Linked DNA regions of Ovis aries. The protein of the gene in region 2 purifies or fractionates together with the protein of the main gene of each other region. This does not show direct contact. Links are inferred from orthologs where the notes say so. Each region holds a gene or a part of one and is shown on either strand. Other genes may lie near its edges. The genes, in order: C12H1orf174 and STK35.

Evidence for each region.
Region 1: the proteins of STK35 (region 2) and C12H1orf174 purify together in Homo sapiens (affinity purification with mass spectrometry; 3 studies listed by BioGRID and IntAct, counting the BioPlex papers as one, with this or other methods). This does not show direct contact. The link is inferred for Ovis aries from reciprocal best matches to the Homo sapiens genes STK35 and C1orf174.

What each region holds. Positions count from the first base shown.
Region 1 is NC_056065.1:48,597,852-48,602,391, reverse strand, and holds the start of C12H1orf174 (UPF0688 protein C1orf174 homolog), read right to left. Parts: upstream 3,011-4,540; 5' UTR 2,931-3,010; coding exon 2,916-2,930; exon of another isoform or gene 2,807-2,915; intron 1-2,806.
Region 2 is NC_056066.1:52,743,817-52,748,331, forward strand, and holds the start of STK35 (serine/threonine-protein kinase 35), read right to left. Parts: upstream 2,912-4,515; 5' UTR 2,859-2,911; coding exon 2,553-2,858; intron 1,962-2,552; coding exon 1,361-1,961; exon of another isoform or gene 1,207-1,360; intron 1-1,206.

The DNA.
Region 1 (4,540 bases), on a different chromosome or scaffold from region 2:
CTCCTTGAGAAACCTTTAACAGCAGCTTCTCACCCATCCCTGCCCCGCCCCCACCCGCAGAGCCTTAGACCTAAGAGATACAGGTTCGATCCCTGGATTGGGAAGATCCCCTGGAGGAAGGCCCACTCCAGTATCCTTGCCTGGAGAATCCCACTGCTGCTGCTGCTAAGTTGCTTCATTTGTGTCCGACTCTGTGCGACCCCAGAGACAGCAGCCCACCAGGCTCCCCCGTCCCTGGGATTCTCCAGGCAAGAACACTGGAGTGGGTTGCCATTTCCTTCTCCAATGGATGAAAGTGAAAAGTGAAAGTGAAGTCACTCAGTCGTGTCCGACTCCTAGCGACCCCATGGACTGCAGCCTACCAGGCTCCTCCGTCCACGGGATTTTCCAGGCAAGAGTCCTGGAGTGGGTTGCCATTGCCTTCTCCGGAGAATCCCACTAGGAGATTGTAAATGGAAAAAATATGGGAGACCCCTGTTAAGTTAGCAATTACTTGAGAAAGCGGGCTTGCTTAGCAACAAAACCATGAGACAGAAGTATTAAGACATGCCCTCAAACAATAAAACAGTGGTGACGTGAGCCCCACGTCCTGCCCAGTGAGCTCAGTAAGGTAACGATCCCTAGGATGTGCTCTCTGAACACACAAAACAATAATCTGTGGACCTTTTTTGACCACATAGGGACAAGAAAACTCCCCTGCCCAGCCTGGAGGAGGAGCTGATGATGGAAGCACGATGTCTACTCAAGAAAGACAAAGTTCTTCTCCCCCTGGCCACTTCTCCTTTGATTATGAAACTGAAGCCTGCTAAGTTCTCAGGGTGCAGCACCCCCTCTTCCACCCACTCGTAAACCGCACAAGCATCCATTCTAACAATCTCTTCTTACCCATCACTTTGCTCTTGCTGAATTCTTTTCTGCACTGAGACATAAAGGACAGTGGTACTGGAGCTCTTTGGAGCCCCAGATATGACACCAGTAGGTCTCACCATTAAGAGTCCAACTCCAAATGTATCGATCCCGGGTCACACTGGCTTTCTCAAGGTGGGGTGTGGGGAAATGGACTGGCCCTCATGACAGCTGCCATCACCCAAGTGTTGCTGCTTAGGTTCTGCTCGTGCTGAACAACCTTAAAAGGAGCAGCACTCCCACTTCAAACTCAGGAGAGGACCCTGCTGGGGTCACACACTCATTGGAGCCCCTCTCCCTGCTCTGCCACCAGAGTTACCAGGTGAAAGCCCTGGTGGCTTGTCAGGGGGACTGAGCCAAGACCCTGCCTGGTTCTGGGGCATGCGCTGTGTAGGCCCTCCGGTAGCAGCAAGGTGCGTCTAGGTGTTTTCTACATAGTCCTTAAAATACTGGGGTGCAACTGCTCCTCAGAGGGCTTGTTACCACTCAGGGCGGGGGTGGCAGACACAGTACCCAGAGTTGCTATAGTATCTAAAATGTCCAGTTTTCAACAGAAAGTTAGGAAGCATGCAAAGAAACAGGAATGCAGACCCAAACACTAGAATAATAGCAAGTAAAAGAAACTGCCTGTGACAGTGATCAGATGCAGGATTTATCAGAAAAGAACTTCAAACTAGCCATTTTAAACACGTTCAAGAACTTAAAAGAAACCATGATTAAAGATTTAATGACATCATATCAAATAGAGATTATCAATAAAAAAAATAGACATTATAAAAAAACCAAATGGGAACTCAGGAGTTGAACATTACGATAGCTGAAATTAAAAATTCACTGGTGGGTTTGGAGTGGGCAATGCTCAAGAATAGATATGGATCAGAAGAATAAGAGAACTTGAAGATAGATTGCTAAAAAAAAAAAAAAGAAGAAGATAGATTGCTAGATTACACAAACCAAAAAACAAAGAGAAATAAGGATGAAATAGAATGAAGAGAGCCTCAGAGACCACTAAATGAACCATCATACATGTAATGGGAATACCAGGAAGAAAGGTGTACAAAAAATATTGGAAAAAATAAGGGCTGAAAACTTCCCAAATTTATTGAAGAACAATGCACAAACCCAGCAATATCAAATAGCTGAATTTCAAGTAGGATAACTGCAAAGAGATCTATAATCAGATGCAACACTACAAATGCTGCAAGTCAAGGACTATGGAAGATCTTGCAAACAGCAAGAGCTCACTCAGTCGTGTCCGACTCTTTCCAGGCTCCTCTGTCCATGGGTTCTCCAGGCAATAATACTGGAGTGTGTTGCCATTTCCTCCTCCGGGGCTCTTACCCACTTAGGGATGGAACCCGCGCCTCCTGCATTGCAGGATTCTGGGAATCCCCAAGCGGCGTAGCTAAACAATCCATCACAAGTCAGGGAAGTCAGACTGGGAAAGTGCCATCCACATGGGGTCTTCAGGAGACCCACTTTTGAGTCAAAGGTACAAACAATAAAAAGGAGAGCAGACCAGGGAGCCCAGGTGCGGCTCCCATCCCCAAGAGGCCCACCTCCCCAGGCAGGGCGTATCCAGTCCCGGGCCCTAGACCGCCCGACGGCAACCAGTACCAGGAGCTACAGCCCCTCAATTCTTTCCACCCTCCGGGGTGGACCCCTCATCGTGTGCCCCAACTTGGGCTGACAGACCCCGGGCCAGGCAGCGTCAGAGTATCGGGGTTTCAGACTAGCTCTGGAGAGGGAGCCCCCCATTCCAGAACTTGGTCTGGGAACATCCTTCTCAAGAGGCCCCCAGCCGGGGGGCGTAGGGTCCGTGTATCTGTGTGTCTGGTGTGTGCGTGGGGGCGCCTAAGGGCGTGGCCTGGGAGAACCCCGCTCCCGGGGGGCGTGGCCTGGGAGACCCCTTCCGGGGGTCGAGACACAGGCGGAGATCCCTCCCCTCCTCCATCCGAGGTGTCCTGTGGCTCAGCCTCAGCTCCCACGCGGCCTCCGCCCCCCCTCACCTTCCGGCTCCTCATGAGTGTGAGCGGCGCGCTGCCGCTCTCAGCCCCGCCGCCAAGGCCCCGCGCCCAGCTTGATCCTTTCCACCGGAGAAGAGATCCGGCGGCCCTTGGCTCGCGCCGCGGCGTGTGACGCCACCAGAAGACTGGCCAATCACAGCTCGGCGTCCTCGGGTATGTGACCCAGCAGAGTCGGCGTTTTACGTATGGGCGGGGAGACGGCCATGTTTGTGAGGGGGCCCTCCCTTGCGATTTCTCCAGCCGCCATGTTTAAGTGGGGCGCCTCCCTGGTAGTTTCTGCGGTCCCCATGTTTAAGTGGGGCGGTGGCGACTAGGTTGAGGGACCCTGGTTGCTGTCCCTGGCCACGTGCGTGGAGGTGGGTGGAAAGGTCCTGCGTGGTGGTGTCTTCCACGCGAGTCGGGCAGCTGAATTTCCCCGGTGTCGGCCCTGTCTTCTGGGCTCCGGGCGCGATGCTACACAGTCTCTGGAAGTGGGCCCGCGAGGCCGTCCCCGGCCGTGTTCGCCCTGCCTGCCGCCGGGGGCGGGGCGGGCCGGGCCCGGGGCTGCACCGCGCGCCGGATCGCGGGGGCTCGGAAGGCGGCGGCCTCTCCCGCCGCGAGCTCCGGGGCGGCCACCCTCGGGTGCAGCCCCCCGCGCTGGCCCGCACCACCTGGCGGCGGCCAACGGGCGGGAACCTGCCTTCTGGGTCCCGGGGCGCGGGCGCGGGCGTCGGCGCCACGGGGCCAGGTCCACGGACGTGGCTGAAGTCCGCCGGGTTTTCGGGCCTCCAGAGCCGGGAGACACCGGCCTCTGTGCCCGCGGGAGGCTCCTTCCGGGAACCGCCCACCTTCTCATCAGGGACACAGAATAAACGACAGTGCTGTGTAGTTTTGTTATTACTGTTCTAACAGGTGAGAACATTTACATCAGGCAGTTTTATCAGAAACATTAGATTTTGCACTTACAGTGTACAGGTTGAAGTGTGTACCGCTCGAGGCACCCTCACTCATGTGGTTCCCTGGCTCTGCCAAAGGTTTCATGCTCTGCTCTGACGGAATGACCCTCGAAGCCTGGAAAAACAGTCGATGCCCGTTTTTAGTACATAAAAAGCAGGGTCCCTCAGGATCCTCCAAAAAGCCCTGCAGACTGTCCTGTCTTTAGAAATCTGACTTTTGCTAATTAGGGGGAGCCCCTTCCCATAGACTGCACTTGGGGCTTTGCTTTCGGCAGTGCATCAAGTCCTAGAGTACACACTGCACACACCTGCACAAGCTAACCCACCTGGCCTGTCCATCTTCCCAGTCCCCTGCTTCTCACTGAGTTGTTCCCCATGGTGCACAGGGAAGGGAAAAAAGACTAATGCAGACTGGCAGGAAATCCATTTGAAGAGGAAGCTAACATAATCACTGTCAGCTGCTAAGAAAGAAGCAAAGTGATACAGTGTTAAATACCTAACCTGTCCCATTTTCAGGCTTCCCAGATGTCACAGTGGTAAAAATTCCCCCTGCCAATGCAGGAGACACAAGAGATGGAGGTTTGATCCCTGGGTAGGAAAGATCCCTTGGAGAGCAAAATGGCAACCCACTTCAGTGGAAATCCCATGGAGTTGCAAAGAGTCAGACAGGAC
Region 2 (4,515 bases):
AGGTGATATTGAGCATGTTCTCAATCCACTATCAAACTGATCTGAAGTGGGCCAAGAAGTTCTCTTGAGACGGGCCTTGCAGAATCTTGAGATCAGGCAAAAGCTCCAAACAAAATGCACTAGCTGACTCCACCCTACCCCAGACCCTATCCATCCTTACTAAGGTCAGATCTAGTGCATCTTCAGGGGAGAAGAGGAAATTGTTACCCCTCTTAAAACGATTTAGACCTTGAAATCAAGACAAATCTGGGATCACATCCCTTAAGCTATGAAAAATTGTAAAGAAAACAGGAGGACAACCCTACATCCCTTACAAGCTGATTAACCTTCATCAACTTACCTTCAAGTTCATCTCTAATCCTTAGTTTCTCTGTTTATAGAAAGAGGAGAGGATTTACTTTTAAAGTTATTACCTCCAGTCACTGTAAGAGATATAGGGCAGAGCTGGGGCTCAGATTAGCAACCTCTCCCCTGAGAACACTCCTCAGGCCTTCCTAGCCCACTGGCTAGGAAGAGACCCCCAGCTACTTGTAGTCTGAACAAGACACGTGACCACTCAGGATGCACACACCCACTGACTGCAGTTAAAACCCCCAAACGAGGATTTGCCCTCCCCAGAACTGCAAAACCCCTTTGCCTCACTAAGCCCTACCTTTTCTAGAAATAAAACCACTTACAAGTCAGCCTCAGAAAGTTAAGAACGTGTAAAACAAGAGGAAAAAGATATTCGATGTTGTTGTGTGACAGTTCTGGCCCACCTGTGGGGTTATTATGCTGCGGGTCCCAAGAGGACCTAGCCTAAAAACTATCAGTCAGCTTGAGTGCCCTGGGAAGAAGAGCTGGGGGGGTCTCAGAGGAAAAAGACGAACCAGAGTCTGCAGGGTGGAGCCCGATGGTTCGGGGATTTTTGGAACCAGACAAGGAGTGGGTGTGGGTGGGTCCGGCTGAGTTTTTTCCTTTCTGTTTGCTTTGGGAGGGAAAGAGAAGGGCCCAAGCCTGTGAGGGGGCTCGGGAGTTCTTCCACTAACTCTGAGCCCAACCCCCTCCACTTCCAAATCCGACCTTCAAAGTGCTAGACGTTTCATACTAATGGCTCACTTAAGGAGCACTAGTATCACAATGGTTAGCACTTAATGAGCCCTTGTTATGAAAAAACCAGCTAACATTAGGGCTGGGAACTGATTCCGGATCTGGAGAGGGGAGGGCGGACTTTTTGCCTGGCGCAGAAAGGAGGGTGTGTCGGGTCCAGGGTTGACAGGACTGGGACCAGATTCTAGGGGTCCAGGGGTCAGTTCGGGTCTGGCCACCAGACTCTTGGGCCCAGGCCCGGCGTGGCCAGGGCGGCCCTCGGCGCTCCTACCTTTAAGCGAGGTCTCCACCAGGCGCAGGTAAAGCTGCGAGCTCTTGTTGCCGTGGCTCATGCGCTGGGCGAGCCCGTTGCGCTGCAGGACGCACTCTTCAAACTGCACGACATTCTGGTGGCGCCGCTTGAGGCTGGTCAGGGCCCAGAATTCGGCCAGCGCCAGCTCCACGTTCTCGGGGGCGTCGCAGCGGATCTTCTTGACCGCCACCCGGGCCCCGCTGCGCCCGGCCACTGCCTCGTACACCACGCCGTAGCTGCCGCGCCCGATCTCCGCCAACAGGCTGTAGCGCGGCCGCGCCGACCCGCCGCCGCCCTCCGGCCGCCGCCGCGCCAGGTAGGCCTCGCCTGGGGCCTGGGCCGCCACCGGATCCATGGCCTGGGCCGCCGCCGCCGGCCTCAGCTTCGCGCTGAGCGCCCGCGGCACTGGGCTTCGCCTTTTCCGCTCGGGGCTTTGTGTACCTCTGCGAGCGCCGTCCTCCTCCCCCGTTTCCATGGCTGCGGGCGGCGGGGGGAGCAGCAACGGCGCTGCCCGGGACCCCCCTGCCTCATCCCTCCGTCCGGCCCCGGGACGCGGAAGAGCGGGACCTTGGATTGTGACCTGCGGGCGAAAAAGTCGGTTAAACGACTAGGCCGAGGCGGGGAGGCCTGGAGCGTAAGCCTCAGGGCGTCCCACCTCCTCCTCCGGCCGTTGCGGCCCCTTTAAGACGGAAGCCACGGCTGCAGAGCGAACGGGGGAGGGGAGGGGAAAGCGGGAAAGACGAAACCACGGGGCACTGGCTTAGAGGGGGGAGCCGGAGAAAAGAGCAAAAAGTCCCCGCCTTTTCAGTTAATTTATCGTGTAGCAGTACGAAAAACAAGGACCCGCTGTTTCCATGACTGATGAAAACCGCCTTCAGAAGCAATTCAGACTGTAGAAATCTTTTTCCGCTGCTTGGCTCCCTCTGGGATGCCCCTCCCCGCGTCCCGCCCTGAGTTCTCCCGGGTGTAAACAGTCCATTGAATTAAGCCCGAGCAGAGCCCTGCGGACCGACCCAAGTCCCGCCGGACTGCGGGTGTAAGGGGTTGGCTTAAAAGTTCGGCGTCCCTGAGCGCGCCCAACCTGGGGCCCAACTGCCCTCACAGACGCCCGAGGCGGCAGCCGTAGTTCCAGCTTCGGTGCTAGCTTTTACGCCGCGGACAGCGCGCTTACCTGGCCGGCGCCCTTCCACTTCCGGGCAGCGCGTTTCCCTCCTAAGGCCCCCGGCTGGGGATGGTCCGCCCCGGGACGGGGCTGCCTCGGGTACGGAGCCGCGCGGGAGGCCGCGGCCCGAGTCGGGCGGGCGACGGCGCCTGCTACTGCACGAGTGACGGCAGCAGTGCTCTCGGGGGACAGCTGGGCGTCCGGGCTCCCGCGGCTCTCCACGTGTTCGCGCCAGCTGAGCCCTTTACGTAACCTTTTTATATAAGCCGCACGTCCGGCCCTCAGTCGGGCCAGCGGAGGCTCCTGGTGGCCCATCCCCCGGAAGGCCGGCTGAGTGCTGCGCCGCCGGCGTCTTGCCAGGGTCGGCCGACGAGCCGCAGCCCGGCGCACCCACGCGGGGCGGGGGCCCAATCACAGGCGAGAACACCCAACCAACAAAAAATAGGCGCCAAATTCCCGCGATTCGGCTATGGCCTCTAGTCTTCGCAGCCGCCTGTGCACCGCAACCTCCTCTCTTCGCCCGCGCTGCGAGAAGAGCTGCACGCAGTAGGCGCTAATAAATACTGATTGGTCGATTGGATTGGTCGGTTTAATTGATTCATAGGTCTTGCCTGGGAACCGCCCGGACTGGGTTGGACTCCATACCCTGTCTCCCTACTAAACCTGTTGATCTTGGGCAAACCATTGCCTCCACTTGGAGCCTCAGTTTTTTCTTCTGCAAAATGGGTAGACTGGCCCTTACCTCCCAGGATTGATAGTCCCAAATTAAATAAGTATATTTTATATAAAATGTTAATATGTAAATATTTAGATGTAAATAGAAAGTGGCTAATTGGGTGCAGGGCTGAGAGCGCTGAATGTAAGCTCCGTTTAGGCAGGAATTTTAAAATATCTTGTTCACTGCTGCTGCTGCTGCTACTGCTGCTAAGTCACTTCAGTCGTGTCCGACCCTGTGTGACCCCATAGACGGCAGCCCACCAGGCTCCCGCATCCCTAGAATTCTCCAGGCAAGAACACTGGAGTGGGCTGCCATTTCCTTCTCCAATGCATGAAAGTGAAAAGTCAAAGGGAAGTCGCTCAGTCGTGTCCCACTCTGTGCGACCCCATAGATGGCAGCCCACCAGGCTCCCCCGTCCCTGGGATTCTCCAGACCAGAACACTGGAGTGGGTATCAAATCATATGGGTGTCTGCAAATTAGTTAACACACTTTCTTGTGTCTCTCCTCCTTATCTGTAAAATGGGAAGAGCAGTATGTGAGAATTCACTGAGTTTAGAAGGTTAAAGCACTTAGGACAGGGCCTTCACACACATTAAATGTTAGATATTATTAAGTAAATTAATACGCAGAATCATTTTTACAATGTAAGTGTGATCGATGAAAAGAATGAGCTAAAGAGTGCCAGGGGGCTGGGGACAGGCCACTTTTGTTGGTATGATCACGAAAATAAATTTTGGGGGTAAAATTTCAAATTTATATATAAATTGCAAGCATGGTAAAGATTCTCACAACTTTTTTAACCAGGATAATAGTTTGCTATATTTTACTACATTTGCACTGTCGTATTCTCTTGTGTATTTGTGTATGTATTATATATAGACGTGGGTGTACTTTTCCCCCCACACCACTTTATGTTTCAGACATCGTGCCTCTTTAATCCCGAATACGTCTGTGTGTATTTCCTAAGAACATGAATATTGTCTTGCAAAACCTTGGTACAACTATCAAAATGAAGAATTTTGACAATAACACAATTTTTAATACATCTTCCATACTAAATGTAGCCACTTGTCCCAATAATGTAGCTATTCCCATGATCCAATCAGGATCACATATTTACATTTAGTTGTCATGCCTCTTTGGTGGTGGTGGTTTAGTTGCTAAGTCATATTAGACTGTTTGTAACCTGCATGGACTGTAGCCTGCTGGGCTCTTCTGACCATGGGGATTCTCCAGGCAAAAACTGGAGTGGG